2 linked regions of the Schizosaccharomyces pombe genome follow. Changing the gene in region 1 together with any one later gene gives a genetic interaction. Each region holds a gene or a part of one and is shown on either strand. Other genes may lie near its edges.

Evidence for each region.
Region 2: mutations in rnh1 (region 1) and rnh201 are lethal when combined (synthetic lethality), as found in Schizosaccharomyces pombe (2 studies listed by BioGRID, with this or other methods).

Annotation. Positions count from the first base shown.
Region 1 is NC_003423.3:2,747,765-2,751,877, forward strand, and holds rnh1 (ribonuclease H Rnh1), read right to left. Parts: upstream 2,259-4,113; 5' UTR 2,006-2,258; coding exon 1,938-2,005; exon of another isoform or gene 1,754-1,937; coding exon 1,027-1,753; 3' UTR 725-1,026; downstream 1-724. Other genes in the region: hen1 (S-adenosylmethionine-dependent methyltransferase), read right to left, coding at 1-563; transcription factor TFIIIC subunit Sfc3, read left to right, coding at 3,151-4,113. UniProt on the Schizosaccharomyces pombe protein: Endonuclease that specifically degrades the RNA of RNA-DNA hybrids.
Region 2 is NC_003424.3:2,252,410-2,256,424, forward strand, and holds rnh201 (ribonuclease H2 complex subunit Rnh201), read left to right. Parts: upstream 1-2,086; 5' UTR 2,087-2,178; coding exon 2,179-3,159; 3' UTR 3,160-3,447; downstream 3,448-4,015. Other genes in the region: ubiquitin ligase Btb3, read right to left, coding at 1-361, 412-503, 572-780; alp11 (tubulin-specific chaperone cofactor B), read left to right, coding at 1,059-1,763; adenylate kinase Adk1, read left to right, coding at 3,526-4,015. UniProt on the Schizosaccharomyces pombe protein: Endonuclease that specifically degrades the RNA of RNA-DNA hybrids. Participates in DNA replication.

The sequences.
Region 1 (4,113 bases):
CATTTAGCAAACTCTTTTCGATCCCATTCAAAAACGTGTTCAGGATGTCTAAAATTGGTAGAAGTACGAGATGATATACTACTTGTCAAGGTTGATAGTTTCTCAAAGATTGTGTTAAATTCAAAATTCGGAGTTGACACTACGCAAACATTGGGCTTCAAGTTTCCAAAAACAAGTTTTTCAAAGGCTAAAATCTCTGCAACTTGACAATGCTCAATAAACTCTGAAGCTACAACCGCATCAACATGTTTATAATGAGTAAAATCTTTAATATTACCAAGCAATAATTCAATATGTAGCGGTCGCCAACGTAGTTGTAAAAAGTCTTCGGTTCTAACCTGTAAAGCCTCAGTAGCTCTTTCAATACTTTGTTCGTTAATATCAATACCGGCCAGAAATTCTATAGGCACTTGATCATTGCAAGGTACTAAATATGATAGAAAACGAGCATCTCCACATCCAATGTCTAACAAAGATCGCACAGGGAAGCCTCCTTGAAGTATTTTAAATAATTTCCTTCGACGCTGTACATGCAAAGGTGGGTAAAAGCTAGAGACACCCATTGTCTAAACTCAAAGTATTTTTGGTACACTTTCTTCACGTTAGTCAAATAACTACCTATTAACTGTGAATGTTCGTTTCAAAACCACTATTTAAGCCTTTTCAAATTCATTACGAAGCGAATTGTTATTAATTCTTTGCTAAGTCCATTGCAATATGATTTCGATGACTGCCGTTAAGACACCGAACCAAATTTAATTGAAAAGGGAATTGTTGACTAGTGCGAAGTGTCATTTTCAACGTTAAATAATAAAATTATCTTAGCTCCGAATCTATACTTTTCAATTTCCTCTTTAAAATTGTTATAATAGCATGATATTTAATTACAATAAAATATGTAGCATTATGCAAAACGAGAACAAAAAAAGCACATACAACCAGCGAAGAGTAGACGAAAATTATACGGCAAATTTCAAAAGAATGTACCTATATCCATTTTTTACAGCGCTCATCATAGATGACCATTTACTCAGAAGCTCCTCGCCGAGCAAGCATATCGGCTTGTTGATTACCGTAATCGGTACTGTGTCCTTTCACGTACTCTAGCGAAACATTTCTGTCACTCATCAAATCTGAAGCGCGGTTGATCAAATCCAAATTTTTTACAGGTTGTGAATTGCTAGTCTTAAAGTCATTTTTCTTCCATTTAGGCAGCCATGTGGTTAGTGACTTAATGGAATAATTGCTGTCAGAGCGGATGGTCAAATCGCCAGATGTATTTTCAAGGGCTAGGATTATGGCTTGCAATTCCGCACGATTGTTGGTTTGCTCTTCCCCAGCCAACGGTACTGAAATATTTCTTGGGTCATCATTTCCGAAAAAAACTCCACAGCCAGCAACAGCTCCTTTTTTCCCATTTCGCAAACTAGAACCGTCAGCATAGACGACCTGTCGATCCGAGCACGCAATTGATTTTTCATGAGTGTCATTCGAAAATATTTCAATATCTTTTTCGGTACTATAACTTCTAGAAATTTTCTTTCTATATTTATCGGAGTGTCTAGCAGAGTAATTTGAGGAACTAGAAGAATATGGAGAGTACCCATAACTTGTTGTACTGCGGCGATATGGGCCAGAAGACGAGGAGTAGCGACTTCCTTCGGTCCTGCAAAATTCCTGAGCAGCCTCATAGCTGTCAAATTTCTTGTAGCGATTACCTCCATAACCTTTCACCTGATCCGACGCCTCATCCCTAAAAATTAGTAAGAGTTTGTTAAACAACAAGGTGTATCCATCAAGGAAATGTTAATAAGAGATCATCTTGAAAAAACCGATTCAGATTGAATTGAAGCAAAGCATACGACCGTATCGAAACTTGCTTAACGTGAAACTTATATTTAACAACGAAACCATTTTCTTGAGATACGCAGTCTTACCATGTACTATATATACCAGTATTTCGACCACGCGCTACTGCATAGTATGCACGCTTATTTCCACCCATTTCGTAATGCGAAGATTCAAAAATAGCTTTAAAATAGTAAAACTTAGTAAAACTTGGGAGTTTTTCCCAAAACTTTGCAAAAATACTTGTAGTTGACAAATTGAGCTGTAGTCTTATGAGTTATTGAAAATAGTGCAGAAAAAAGAAGGATTTGGATTTATAAATTTATATTAATTTGTAAAAGAGTTCAATTGACGATTAATAATGGTAGAGCATCAGGAAATGTCACATATCTGGACTACTGCAGTACGATACATAATAAAACGGGTTTGCTTATTTACTAGCTGCATAATCTCTGCACACTATATTACGGTAAGCTAGTTAGATCTCCGCGACTGTTATACCGCCTGACATTAAAATTAATACACAATTGATAGTATATTTTATTAGTTAAAAGCTCCTTAAATATAGAATACTCATTTTATGTCCTTAGCTCATTTAATGTAGTCTAATTTCAAACAAGCAGAAAAATGTATTGTTTGTTTAGTAATAATTGTTTAAGTCATTTTACCTTTTTAAGATTATACTTTCATAAAGAATCCTCATCTCTGTTGGCCTCTGAGTAGTTTGCAAATTGCGCAATTGTTATTCTAAAAAGAATCTTTTAGTCAGAGAAAAGATTATGCTTTTGCAGTGGGTATTGCCGCGCGTAGCAGAAAATTTGTAAACTATTCCACCATGTGCCCTTTTCAATTTAGTGCTAATTAAATGTTCAGTTTTGCGGACTTTAGCGTTCACTTCAATATTCCAGAATTCATATTTAAAAGAAAAGTTTTGAGAAAGTTTTCTTACTTTGTTTTATCAGCTGTATATATCATTTAGAGCTGTGCTTTATGTAACCATCATTTCGGTTACAAGGTTGGCATATGAGAATATACTCATAATAGCTACCATCTGCTTACTGAATAAGAGCATATTAAAATGTGAACCGATTTAGTCGTTTATTGTGTCGGTATACTATTTAGCAGTCGTATAACTCAATACATCGGTTAAAGTATATTAAATATGTCTTTAAGTTCTTCTGTATAAAATTTAACAAAATTTTAAAAACACTCATAAAGTATCACTATTTTCACTAACTTTCACCTCTCGAACCACGCTTTCCTTTTGTACATAGTGTTAGAACCAGCGTTCGAATCGCCCTTATGGATTCACTCATTCGGCATTGCTCAGAAGAAATTGCTTTGGATGGATCATCGGGATGTAGCATAGATCGTTTATGGGAATTTGCTGCAAATTTTTTTTTTCGGCAAGGTATCGTACAAAATTTAGACGATAACTATAAAACATTTGTGTGGCCTTTAATTTTAAAAGAAGATGGAATTGAGGTTTGGATTGAAGATGAAGATGCCACTGGATTACGAAGTAAAATGCAAGAAATCCCTTGGAATTACCAAGATATCACGATTGAGTTACGCGCTCGTATACGCTTATTCGCTTCAGAAGACAGGCAATGGCTTACTCTCACTTACAAGACGAAGACAGATTCAAAAATTCAACCTTTAGCCTTTGAATTATTGTCTTGCATATCTAGATATAGGCAGGAAGGTGTTGATAGAATCCAATTATGTAAGGAGACTAAGCAGGAGCCTCGAAGCGTTTACGGTCGTATTCAAGCGCTAGAAGATGCTTCTTTAATATCAAAGGTTGCCATTAATCGAAGCAGAGCACAAACTGCTCTGCTAGTTCTAAAGCGATTTGAGTCAGAGAACAGCACAATTAACGAAACTGTTGCTCAGGTATCTGGTAAGCAAATTTATAACACTGAAAAAATTCGTAGCAATATATGTGATGCTGTTCAGTCTTCACGTAACGGAATTTGCCGTCATGTTGATGCTCGTGCGATGGTGAATTTAAACCACAGTCGCTGGGAACGAAGATATTATGCTCGACAAGTTACATATTTACACAATAATGGATACCTTCGCAAATGCCTTACTTTTGTTCCTAACTCTCCAGAGCGTTGCATTCGCTGTTTACAATTTATAAAACCTTACATTTCATCTTTAGACGCAACTGAGGACGACGTTGATTTTACTGAAGTGGATGATATTCCAGAAGACGATGAATTAGAGGAAGAAGAACCACTCCTTCCGTCAAAAGAAGAA
Region 2 (4,015 bases), on another chromosome or scaffold:
TATCGCAAAATTGATTCAAACTCTTTAGCAAAATGTTTGACTTCAATTTCATGTTCACTGGGTCCCAATTTCGAAAATTTTGATTTAAAATATGAACTTCTGGCAGCTAAATAGAATTTATGAGCAAAAACCCTACCATATTGACCGGCAAAGACTATGTCAGTAGTAAAATGTAAAGCCGAGTTCGACAACAAGGAAGTTATGTGACTAGCATAAGGTTGGGACTCATCAATGGCTTTAGTAATATCATAAGAAAGAAGCATACGGCGAATATTATCATTAAGGGCACCATACAAACATCTTTCTCCTTGAAAAGTATCTCGTTCGCATAAAGCACCATTTTCAAGAAGAAATTTTACAACTTAAGCGTGAGAAAATATAATAATTGAGAGCAAAACATTCATAGCATACCTGGTTCATGCCCGCAAAGACTCGCAAGGACTAAAGGCGAGTAGTCAAATTGGTCTACTTGATTAATAGGTGTGTTATAGTTTTCGACCAAACTGGATTTTGAATTTAGCAATTGCAGTTAAAATTGTTTATCGATTCAATATTTTTAAATTGCACATACCTCTTGACAACTTCCAAATCTCCACGCCGACAAGCTTCACAAAGCTCAAGAAATTCTTGGGTATCATTTACTGTGAAAAGTGAGGAAGACAGCTTCTTCTCATCCATTGCCTTTGACCAAAGGTCATACTTGGAGAAAAGCTTTTTAGAATTTTCACCACCTTGCAATTCGACATGTGTTGTCCCTGTATTTTGATCTTGAGAAGCCATTTTAATAAATGAAGAACAATTAACAACCGATTAAAAGGTTATACTGAGCAAAGATTGCACTTATGTTCAACAGTATTATCGACTTAAAATTTAATTGATCATATGCGAAATGTAGTTGGTTAACGAGGGTTCTATGTAATTGTTCAAGTTCGATGTGATTTGTGAACGACTGACCAAGGCGGCGTCAGCATTTAACTACTACGTCTTCCACCACTTTATATATTCTTGTGTTTTCCGTTTTCATTAATCATATATCTTAAGTTAAAATTATTTGCTACATGAATGAGATAACTCTCTTTATTAAATCTTCCTCTGCAAATGCTGAACGAAGGATTAACCCACAATGGACTGTTAGTCAGCTTAAGACCAAATTAGTTCCTATCGTAGGGACACCAGAACAATACCAAAAACTTACGTATGAACCTGCTTCCAGTACAGTCCCTGGACACGTTTTCACTAGCGAAGAAGAGAATTTAGACCTAGGGGAATTCAAGCTTCAGCCTCTGGGGACTATAGTCGTTGAGGATACACGCCCTCCTCATTTGCGTCTAGACTTTGACGATCTTTCACAGGTTGATAAATATGTAATGCCTCGTGAACAGTATGAGAACAGGACAGATTCTGTCTATGCCTGGAAAAAAAGAAATCAGCTTGGACGATTCAATCCAGACTTTGAAGCAAGTAAAGCTTCTCGACAAGAATCTTTAAAACGTGAATTAGTCGACTTACAAAAAAATTTAAATTCTAGGTGCTGTGCAGCAGGAGAGAGATATGGAACTATTCGCTATATTGGACTAGTGCCTGAAATTAATAATGACAATCTGTGGGTTGGCGTCGAATTTGATGAACCAGTTGGGAAAAATGATGGGACAGTCAGCGGAAAGAGATACTTTAATGCGAAAAATAAACATGGATCCTTTCTTCGATCTTCTGAAGTTGAAGTAGGAGACTTCCCTCCAGAAGATATTTTAGAAGGTCTTTGATGTTGTTATTCGTTTTACAAGGTTCCATGTTAATGATTTCCTTTTTTTTTGTTAAATCTTGTATGCAGGCTTCGATTGCTAGGAGATGACTCGCTTAAGATAATGAACAATTTTCTAAAAAAATGAAAGTCTAAAAAGTAAATCATTTAGTTTAGTCATTTCTCAATTAAAATATTTTTACTCAATCAAAGAAAGCATTATAACTGTAATGAATTGTTTGTCTGGCTTTTCTTTTTTTTTTATTTACATCGTTTTACCGTAGTACCGCTAATTAAAACCACGAACGAAAGAAAACTGTGTTAGGCCTATTTGCGCATTCCTTCAACCCCTTTATTTATTTTTTTATTCAGTTTTTGAGCCAAATATTAGAAGTACTCTGATAATTCTTTAAAAGATACAAAGCAGCAATCTCAACATGAAAGATGATCACGATGCATGGGAACCAGAAGAACTAGTCAGTGACAATAACTCTTCAGAAAATGAGCTACAAGAAGACCAAAATTCTTCAATAACTTTTTTACCACCTTCAGTTAATAAATCGAATCCCGCAAAATCGAATTACTATCATTCAACAGTCACTGATGATATTTCCAAGAGTCAGCCATATCGATTAGGAGTAGATGAAGCTGGTAGAGGCCCTGTCTTAGGACCTATGGTATATGCTGTCGCTTACTGTCCAGTCGATTTCGATTTGACCAACTATGGGTTTGCTGACAGTAAAACTTTGGCCTCCTTAAAGCGAGAGGAACTTCTGAAATTAATTTGCAACAAATCTAACGAGCTAGGAAAAAACGTTGGATGGTCTACTATGTCTATTTCCGCAAGAGAATTAGCTGCAGGAATGCTGAGGTACCGGAACAAGTATAATTTAAATCTTCAAGCACATGATACGACAATTGACTTAATAAAAAAAGTTTATGAATCAGGAATAAATGTTACAGAGATTTACGTGGATACAGTAGGACCTCCAATATCATACCAGGAAAAATTACAAGCTCATTTTCCTCAAGCGAAAGTCACTGTCACTAAAAAAGCAGATTCCCTTTTTCCCATCGTGAGTTTAGCTTCTATCTGTGCTAAAGTTACTAGAGATATTCAACTGGAATGCGCTCGTGAAAGTATTCGAACTGAGAACTGGGGTTCTGGATATTCTTCTGACGCTCGAACTACCGAGTGGTTAAAAGTAAATGTCGATAAAATTTTCGGATGGAAGGGAGACATAGTTAGATATTCATGGAAAACCGCTAAGGATTTACTAGAATTACCTTCCAAATCACAGTCTTCGATTGAAATAGATTGGCACGAAGATGACGATACTCCTACTTTGAACTTTACACAGAAAAAGAAACCGAATCCGGCTTCTCGTTCGTGGTTTGGATCAGAGTTTTATTTTTAGTTTAGTTACTATACTCTGTCACTACTTTTGCCTAAGACTAATTGTGAGAGTGATACGAATTTACATTTATGCTTAAAATCATTAATTGCATTGCTTCGTGCTTTTGGAGCTACGTAGAAAACCTTTATTAGCATTTGGTTATAGATAAAAATAATATAAATTTATTGTTCTATTTACCCCAGGCTTCTGCTCTGTTTATTGAGTTTGGTTTAGCACCAACAATAATATAACGACTTGTTAAAGTTCGCTATTATAAAAATTAGGTGGTCTTCTTTTACTTCTCAGTCCGATTTTAGACTACTACCAAATACCGCTTTGTTGTGGAATCTCGTTTTTTTTTTGCATAGATACCCAATTTGATCAAATATGGCTGGCATGAGACTTATTTTAGTTGGACCTCCAGGTGCTGGAAAAGGCACTCAGGCCCCCAACATTCAGAAGAAATATGGCATCGCCCATCTTGCTACTGGTGACATGTTGCGCTCTCAAGTAGCTCGTCAAACTGAGCTCGGTAAAGAAGCTAAGAAGATCATGGATCAGGGTGGTCTTGTCAGCGATGACATTGTCACTGGTATGATCAAGGATGAGATCCTCAACAATCCTGAGTGCAAGAACGGCTTCATCCTGGACGGTTTCCCCCGTACTGTCGTCCAAGCTGAAAAGCTTACCGCTCTTCTTGATGAACTCAAACTTGACTTGAATACTGTCCTTGAGTTACAAGTTGATGATGAACTTTTGGTCAGACGTATCACTGGTCGTCTCGTCCATCCCGGATCTGGCCGTAGCTACCACTTGGAATTTAATCCTCCTAAAGTTCCTATGAAAGACGATGTTACTGGCGAGCCTCTTATCCAAC